Linked DNA regions of Danio rerio. The protein of the gene in region 1 purifies or fractionates together with the protein of each later gene. This does not show direct contact. Links are inferred from orthologs where the notes say so. Each region holds a gene or a part of one and is shown on either strand. Other genes may lie near its edges.

Region 1 (5,047 bases):
TTTAACTGCCTGTCTGCACTTCCTTTCTTCATGTGTTCAATACTTATTCCAGTGTCATTTCATTTAATTACACATAACTTAATTTGTACGCTAATTAAATTTGTTTTTATATCATATATGCTTTTGTTTGGTTATCAACATCTGGTAAAAATTTTAAGTCAACAGCATTTTTAAAAATATGTTTTGTGAGAAAAAAGGTGACGTGTTGAATATTTATTTTCCCCACTATATATATCATCATGTTATATATAAAACTTAAAAATGGTTACGTATTTTGCAAGAAAATTGTACTAATACAATAGCATATATTGATATTCTAGAATTCATTATAATATAATGTAACAGTAAACTTTCTTTGCAAACAGCAGAATATCCTCAAGATGCTTGGCTATATTTCTGTATCAATCCCGAGTATATCAACTCACCAAGTTTTCCATACTGCTCAATGAGGTCCATTTTTGACAGCACATTTACATGTGGCAATTCAACATGCAGCATGGTGGACAGAGATGTGCACAGCACTGAGATGAACTTAGCCGGATCAGCACAGTAATGTGAATCCACCAGATGCACTGCAGTCAGCTGCCGAAAGCAAATCAAAACAAACAAATGAATACACCCTAATAAATCAGAAATACAAAAGAGAAAAGAACGTACCCTGAAATTCCACTTGGACAGCTGTGCAAAGATATTCTTCACTGAATTGTGATGAGTGTACAGTTCCACTTGGCCTGGGCAGTCAAACAGAAAGTAGCAGTCATGGTGCAGCTTCAGCTTGTTTTCCAACCAGTCCAAATTTGCCTCTAAATATTCCATAGAGTAGATGAGACCACCATTGGGGCCGAGTTTTAGACCGTCCATCACATCATCCAGAGTTACAAGCTCTGCTATGTCCACGGCACACGGATAAGGCAAGCCTTCGTTGGCAGGATCGAGGTTTACAATGACCACCTTTCGCCCGAGGCGACTCAGAAACTCCTGCATGCCCCGACAATAAGTGGTTTTACCTGAACCAGGCGGACCAATCACAACCTGGCCGAAGCGCAGAGATGGAGGATCCGATGACATCATGATGAAGACAAGTTCACCTCTATGTGAAGAAGCAAACTAGGCTACATCTAGAAGAGAAAGAGGCAGGATTATACAAATCATAATTGATCATGTTATAGTTTATGAAGACTTGACTGTTTAGTAGAATGTTAAGAAAGAGTTTTAGTTAAGTTCATGGTCTTTGGTGATTTGTAAAATCCAAGTCGACAGTTATGGTCGCTTTCTAAAAAAAAAGAAAAACCAAACATACACAACAGGCAAAAATAACACTTGTTGCTCCTTATAATATACTTGTCATACGAAGGTCTGATGGATTTCCTGAATGTAAATAAATTCACAGAAAATTTACCGATTTTCTTTTTTTAATTTTAAATACAATATTTACTTTAAAGAGTCAGTTCACTCAAAAACCTATCTCCTATGATGACATATGCCTTTGTATAAGCAGTTTTCTTGCAAAGTATATATATATATATATATATATATATATATATATATATATATATATATATATATTTATATATATATATATATATATATATATATATATATATATATATATATAAAAATATATATATATATATATATATATATATATATATATAAATATATATATATATATATATATATATATATATATATATATATATATATAAATATATATATATATATATATATATATATATATATATATATATATATATAAATATATATATATATATATATATATATATATATATAAATATATATATATATATAAATATATATATATATATATATAAATATATATATATATATATAAATATATATATATATATAAATATATATATATATATAAATATATATATATATATATATATATATATATATATATATATAAATATATATATATATATATAAATATATATATATATATATATATATATATATATATATATATATATATATATATATATAAATATATATATATATAAATATATATAAATATATATATATATATATATATATATATATATATATATATATATATATATATATATATATATATACAGTGGGGAAAATAAATATTCAATACATCACCTTTTTTCTCACAAAACATATTGCTAAAGATGCTGTTGACTTGATATTTTCAACAGATGTTGATAACCAAAGAAATACATATTTATGCAAAGAAAACAATATTAATTAGTTTTTAATTTAAGTTGTGTAATGAAATGACACAAGCAAAAGTATTGAACACATGAAGAAAGAGGTGTAAATAGGCAGTGAAAGCCCAGACAGCAGCTGAAATCTCTCAGTAGTTATTCAGCAACCCTCTACCATTCATCTTTGTAAAGTAATATCAGCTGCTACAGTCCAACATCTACATTAGCATGATGGAAATGAAGCCAAAGTGGACATTTCAGCAGGACAATGATCCAAAACACAGACAAGGAAACTCTCAAACGGTTTCAGAAAAAGAAAATGAAGCTGTAGATGGTTCTGTGGGTTTTGTCGGTCCAAACTCATCTTTAATTTGTATTTTATATTGGTTTCAAGTCAGGTGATAGGCTGGGCCATTCTACAGGTTGATTTTCTTTTTCTGAAACAGTTTGAGTTTTATTAGCGGTGTTTCAGATCATTGTCTTGCTGATTTCATCCTGGTGATCAACCTGTCATCAACTTACAGAAAACACTTGGAAACTCAACAGCGACTTAAATGTTTTTTTCTCTCTATCATGAGATGGATATGGACATGGCATTCAATCTGCACAGAAGAATCTCACTGGAACCAAACGAGAGCGAGTACTTGATGACAAAACGCAGAACTATCCCTTTAAGGAAAACGAAAAGTACTTGAAATAAATAATGGACATCACCATTAAGTAATTATATTTAATTCTCAATCACTATTTTTTTTCTAAACGCAAAAACCACAGCGCTGATGCTGTGACATTAACATGATGCAGATTCGCGCGGTCTGTGAACTACCGGTAAACAAACAACTTTAGAGACGAAAACAAAACCCCCATAAGCGACAATTGATGTAAATCGAAGAAATAAACAGGTATTAGATCACGACACAGACATACAGTTCACAAAAACGCATGTACACAAACCTTTAAAGTCAGCGAACTACCTTACTCACGACAACATGACGCTTGAATTGTGATGCAAACCGGATGTGGCGACTTCAAAATAAAGGTACCTCAAAATGTAACCGAGGCATTTTCTTCAGGAGTATACATTTTTTTTAACAATCAAAATTTTTTAAAAAGACGGTATTTGAAGGACAAACTTTAATTTCTACGTTATAAATGCATTTTAAATACCGAATTTATTATATTTATGTAAACTGAAAAATTAAATACCTATTAAATTCCCTATAAAAACGAAAAAGGAATTTCTTAACTTTCAACACATTTGATAGCGTTCACACCATCAAATTCAATGTGTGCAGTCCATCAAAATACAAACATTCATTATTATCCATCTTTATTTTACAATACAAAACATCTTATCATCAAATATGAATGCACTGTGAGAGAATAGAAAATATGTAAAGAAAGATGGCATCTTTTCTGTAGCACTATTCAAATTATTCTCAGTATTTTCTGAATGATCGTGAAGATGCTGGCGCTAGGAGACTGGTTCAACTGACCAGAACATAGTACGCATCTAAATCACAAATACTACAAACTAAAACACATTAAACGAGCAGTCACTTCAGATAAATCCAGTATATTTACAGTAACCAAAACGAACATTATATTCACTCTTTTTCAAGCGTATCCAAAATATATGTTTTTAAAGACAGATTCATTAGTTCTGGCTTTGAGCACTTGCTTTTAGGGACAACAATGTACACAGTTTGACGGGATACAAAAGCTATCCACCTGAGAATAAGTCATACAGACAACTTGGGCAGGCTGAAGCATCATCGTTTCATTGTTCAGAAGGAAATTATGAATAAATGAGCAGTTCATGCTCGTCCTGTTTGAAAAAAAACTTTCAGTCCAGCACAAACAGGTTACTTTGGTAAACTTTGAGGAGAGAGCTACTCATCCAGCCCTTCATCCTCCTCTTCTTCTTCCTCCTTCTTCTTCGCATCGACCTCGGTTGTGTCAGAGAACTCGTGAAGGAGCACATACTCTCTGCTGCTGAAGCCGAACTTCAGCACGTCCTTCTCTTTGAGCTCGTAGTAACGCTGAGGTTCGATGCGCTGATTGTTCAGGTAGGTGCCGTTACCAGAACCCAGATCGATGATGTACGGCTTCACTCTCCTGCCTGCAGTGCCATCCACCCGTGTGAACTCCACTAACCTGGAGAAGAGAAAAGACAATGAGAAATGAAGTTTGGGAAATTTCCACCTAAAAAACACTTCTTTTAATGTTGATGTAGTGAAAGTAACGACAGATCTTTTCTTCCAGACTGTGATGTAAACTGAGGTGAAATACTATCAAACATCTATCGATGAAACTAAAGGTGTGAAAAAAGATCAATCATTTTGAACTTGTCCACTTGGCTTGACAATGTAAACATTAGGATTGCACAATATCGTTTCAGCATGGATATCCCAATTTGCACAATACTCACATCGCATAGATATGCAATGTTGAGTCTTACTTATAGTTGACAGGGAGCTACAGAATTCCATTTAATTATGATTTATGCAAAAATAATAATAATAATAATAATAATAATAATAATTTTTGTCTTGTTTCTAGTCCAAATACAGTTGAAACCAGAAGTTTACATACACTGTATAAAAAGGCACATAACCGTTAAAAAAACTCAGATGTTTATTTGATTAAACTTTTTCTCTTTTAGGTAATTTAGGATTATCGAATTTCTATTATTCTAAATAGCAGAAAAATGAGAGAGATATTTTTTGAGAAATTGTTATAACTTTTCTCAAAAGTCAAGTTTACATTATATGCCTCTGAAAAAGCTCAGATGATTGTGTCAAGGTTTTGGAAAGTTCTAATTGGCTAATTGACAACATTTTAGGTAATTG
Region 2 (5,164 bases), on another chromosome or scaffold:
TTTTTTTCTAATGGAGAGATGCGCACCTGAGGCAACGCGCTTGCACTTTTCCAGCTGCACCTAGTTAAGATCACAGGGAGTTTCTGTGAACCTGAGAACGGTTAAGAAATGGCTGAAGTTTAAGGTAGACGCAATGAAAAGTACACGTTTGCAAACCTAAAGGTACAACCAATAATTCTGATAAGAGCGATAATGTGGAGAATATTGATCTTGTGTTGAGCCCAATGAGCCTTACATCTAACAATAAAGCAAGGGTGTTCCTTTGGTGATATCGCCTTGACTCAAACACTGAAAATGGCAGACGTGAAACAACAAACTGAGGATTAGGTTACGCATGCCTGTCAATCAATATTGGTGGGCGGGGGGACCACACTTTTACATCAAGTTGCGGTCGCTCTAAAAACTGCTCCAATTGGTCTGTCGTTTTTATGTTGTTAAATTGAAGAAAAAAAAAAAAAAAAAACACTGGGTGTGTTTATATCACCCCAATATGACGGTGTATACACTTTACTTACACACGTCTTTCCAAACAGCTTGAAAAGTAGATTTGTTACCATAGGTGCCCTTTAAAACAACATTAGCACCATTTAACTGATCATGAACAATGTTGCATTTTGAAAGCCATTGGACGCTGATATGATTTCCCTATTTAGAATTTGCAAATAATACTTTTCTGAAATTATAATATTAAGTAGAACGTCTGAATGTGTGAATACAAAACCAACTTTACCTCAATTGTCTTTTGCAGTGCTGCTATAGAGTGCATTTTTTTCAGGAGCGCTTGTTCTGGAATCATTTTTTACTCAATGCAAACACATGAACATACCCTAAATCGCTCCTCCAGCAGGGACAGCTCACTGATCAGATCCGTGATGGCATTAGTGAAGGCTTCCTGAGGACTGTAGTCTGGTGTCGTCTGAACGCGGATCACAACCTTATGCTCCAGAGGATGAGGAACCTTATATCCAGCAAACAGCACCTGGGGGTCCTTCAGCAACTGCCTAATGAGCAATTCCAATGTTACAAATGTGACATTTGCAGTAAGATCTCAAAACACATTCACAGAGAAAGTATGTGTTAACATTATACTGAAACATCTGTTTATATTTTCCAAAACAACTAACCACAGAGTTAAAACCTAATCTTTTTCATGACAAGGTTGACATTTGCATGGAATTGCTCTAATGTAAATATAGGATGATTACAAAACCCACATAAATATCTGAAAATGTTTTAGTGTATCAAAAGTTTGGTCTCTTACGATCGGATGATGTTTCCCAGTGTGTGATCCTCTTTATTTAGAGTAAACAGACATGCATTCGGCACCTTGGTGTCTTTGGTTATTGTGATCCTGTAAAAAGAAGTTGAACAGAAATTTTAGGCAATCCCTTACTTTTAAAAATAGTAATGTTTTGGTACAGAGTATATACAGGAACCAGAGAGTGAATTTCAATACCTTTAAGACTCTCTCCATACAAGACCTTAAGACCTTATTATCACTTAAGATTTCAATCGGAAACAATAAAGAGATTTTAACTTACAGTATATTTATTAAATATTAATGTAAAAAACTTACATATTGATATACATAATTATATTGAATTAAAATCTATTAAATATAGCTAATTCAGCAGGTTGGTGCCTATAGAACTGCAGAAATAATGGTTTTTCCTTGATAACTGCAGTAAACAAAACTGCATGATGTCAAATCTAGCAGGATTTCATTGATTTCATAAACTACACAGCATCCTGACATTTAGATTTAATTCAGGCAAACTTTAGCATACAACCATACCTACATTGCACAATCAAAATTATATAAAATTTAACACCTTGCAAAATAGCATTTAGGATTTTAAAATACTTTTTAAGGGCCTTACATTTCTCTACATTGATTAATCAACTTTTAATAGTTCTTAAGACCCCGCAGACCCTGTGGTATCATGGTACAATGTTGGCAGTAATATGTCACTTTGTTAAGTAGATCAGAGATGAAAAATGTTTTTCTAGGTAAATATACAAAATATAATAAGCTTTATCATCATATTTATCATCTTTTTATCCTACTATAATTTTAACCCTTATTAAGAGAAGATGCTCACTTAAATGTCATTCAGTGCAAAAATATTTTTTTATGCCAAAAAGTATTGTCAAGCATTGAGGTAAAGTTGGTTTTATATTCAGACATTTGGTAATTTTTGAACAGTGAAACCTTGTAACACTGTGCATATATTGTTTATCACACTGCTTTGAATATTCAGTCTAAAATAGCCTGCAAATATGACTTCTCAAAAACATAAGTACTATTTACCTGACTGAACAATGTTGTACTTTGATAGTCATTGGCTGCTAATGATTTCTCTATTCAGAATTTGCAAATAAAACTTTTCTGAAATTATATTAAGGAGAAAGTCCAAATGTGCGAATACAAAACCAATTTTACTTAAATTTGTCAAGCATATCTGTCAGAAAGAGGCATTTACAAGGCAAAACAATTTAGTTTAAGCACTTACTACTGCATATTTTAATCAATGTAGATTACAATAAAGGTTTACTTTTTAAAAAATATATTCATATTTATATGGAAGGTTATTTTACTAATATTTTTGACAATCTTATTTTTATAGTTAAAAGTTATTTAAAACATTAAAGCACACCTTATTTGCATAAATTTTATATGTTAACGTTACGTATTACCTCTGTTATTTAATTTGATGCTGAGACCAATTACTGTACATGTACTATGGTATTTACATGGTATTCAAAAAATGTCATGGTATCATGACCTAAAGTACGTCTAAAAACGAATACTTTTATTTAGATTCACAAGGTCACTTAACCAACTTAAACTTAATTGAGCTAAATGTTGGTATTACATGTCTTATTCAAACAGCTTAGCATCTGAAATTGTATTCGTTTATACAAAAATAATGAACAATAAACTTAAATAGTGAATGAATCAATCGTCGATATGATTTAAGCTGTATTGTATAAAGCACTCTGTAAACAGAAGTAGGTTGTATTTTGTTTTCAGATGGACTGACTAACGTAACCTGTCGTTAGCCAACAAGCTAAAGCCTTTTGAATCTCCCTCCTGTCTTCCAACTGAATATTTACTCTTATTATAGGCTAGTATAATATGTTAGTATAATTGAATAGCAAAGACAGCTTTATAGTGCACTTACTTCTTTTCTCCCTCAAACAGCAAAAAAGACTCGAATGCTGGTGGCGCGTTCATCCTGCTTCAAAACCAGCAGCGAACGATGCTACTAATGGACGCACGTTGTACTGCGCATGCGCATGACATGGGAAGACATGGGAAAAAGGGTAATATTGAGTGAATAACGACCGGGGGCAGTATTGTGTCGTAGTCTGGTCGTAGTATTTTCAACACAACGACAGAGTTAAGAGGTACCTTTATTATGAGTCTTTTAATACACTTTGGGTCAAAATGGTTGGATTATATATCTAATTTTGACCATCGCTTGTAAAAGTTGAGTATGGTGATTAGCATGGGAGTAATTATTGACCATTCCACCGAATGGATGCATTTTGCTTATTGTAACTCTTTACAATTAAACTTCTTTTAATTACTTTTCAAGGCGGAATCTAATAACACACATACTTAACTTTTCAAAATATGTATTGGTCCACATAAAATGACTTAATTTGAGTTTTTACAAGGTATTATGTGGCAGATGAATGCATTTTTCAGTCATATTACCCAAACTAACGAGTCTTTTAAAAAGCATGAATAAAAGTCTATCAGGTAATTACTTTGTTTTCCTCTTAAGAAAGTGATTTTCTTTTTAAAATATGGTTTGTTACACTTTCAAACATTTGATTTTTGTATTTAAAAAATCACGATTTACATAAAAAAATGTATTTTTATAGGAATGCAAAGGCACTTTCCCTTTTTTCAAGAAAACTGTGGCCTGAAATTCATGTTTTTTATAACATAATTTACTTAACATTTAAGTATATGATGTACAGAACTTAACTGAGTAAATTGTAGGGAAAAAAAGTTTTCACAAGAAAACCAAATCAGTAAGTGAAAAGAGAGAGAGAGAGTGTGTGTGTGTGTGTGTGTGTGTGTGTGTGTGTCATGTAGTGGAACTGTCATTTCTGAGAAAACTATTCCTTTAAATATCTTACAACTTCAACATTTCCATCCATAACGTGTGGAAATCAGATGAATAATATAATAAAAACTGTTCATTCTATTAAGTATCAGAAGATGCTTTTCATTATTGTTACTCATTCCTGTAACTCTTATAAGTAACAGGACTGAAAGTAACAGGACTGAATTTCTAGCATAATATTTGCATGTAAATGAAATTGAGCCACACGCTGTACATGCTAATAGCTCAAAGAAACTTATCAAACTCCCTCAACTTAACAAATATCAGAAATTTTGCACTGAACAAATTACCTCTATGAAGTAATTTAGGTAACAAGATAGTATTTTTAAAATGACATTTCCAGTTTTCATTGCAATATCCGCAAATATGTAAAAAAATAAATAAAAATAAAACAAGATATATTATCTTTGCTCTTTCAATGGCCTTTCAAAGATCCAAATGATGCAACTTACTGTTTAACAACTATTTAATGGATATTATTTAATGGATATATAATTTCCTTTTATCTAAGTATAGAATTTTTTAAATAAATGTATTTGAAGCAAATATTCTAATTATTATATTTTACAGTGAAGACGATGCTGTGGCGCAGTAGGCAGTGCTATCGCCTCACAGCAAGAAAGTAGCTGGTTCGAGCCTCAGGTGGGTCAGTTGGCGTTTCTGCATGTGTTGCATGTTCTCCGTGTGTTTCCTCCTGGTGCTCCGGTTTCCCCCACAGCCCAAAGACATGCGGTACAGTTGAATTGGGTAAGCTAATTTGTCCGTAGTGTATGAGTGTGTATGTATGTTTCCCTGAGATGGGTTGCAGCTGGAAGGGCATCCGCTGCGTAAAAACATGTGCTGTATAAGTTGGCGGTTCATTCCGCTGTGGTGACCCCGGATTAATAAAGGGACTAAGCTGACAAGAAAATGAATTAATGAATGAATTTTTCAGTGAAAAGCAATGTTAGAGACTGGGGACAATAAAAAAACAGTAGGTAATTTTTATCAATCTTTTAAATGTTTTAAAATATTACATTTGT

Evidence for each region. Proteins that work in one complex are often made in the same cells at the same time.
Region 2: the proteins of gpn2 (region 1) and polr2j purify together in Homo sapiens (affinity purification with mass spectrometry; 3 studies listed by BioGRID and IntAct, counting the BioPlex papers as one, with this or other methods). This does not show direct contact. The link is inferred for Danio rerio from reciprocal best matches to the Homo sapiens genes GPN2 and POLR2J.

Annotation. Positions count from the first base shown.
Region 1 is NC_133191.1:37,154,239-37,159,285, reverse strand, and holds the start of gpn2 (GPN-loop GTPase 2), read right to left. Parts: upstream 3,220-5,047; 5' UTR 3,150-3,219; intron 1,119-3,149; 5' UTR 1,072-1,118; coding exon 658-1,071; intron 583-657; coding exon 426-582; intron 1-425. UniProt on the Homo sapiens protein: Small GTPase required for proper localization of RNA polymerase II and III (RNAPII and RNAPIII). May act at an RNAP assembly step prior to nuclear import.
Region 2 is NC_133180.1:67,353,326-67,358,489, reverse strand, and holds the start of polr2j (DNA-directed RNA polymerase II subunit RPB11-a), read right to left. Parts: upstream 3,275-5,164; 5' UTR 3,239-3,274; coding exon 3,186-3,238; intron 1,352-3,185; coding exon 1,262-1,351; intron 1,002-1,261; coding exon 827-1,001; exon of another isoform or gene 27-826; intron 1-26. UniProt on the Homo sapiens protein: Core component of RNA polymerase II (Pol II), a DNA-dependent RNA polymerase which synthesizes mRNA precursors and many functional non-coding RNAs using the four ribonucleoside triphosphates as substrates.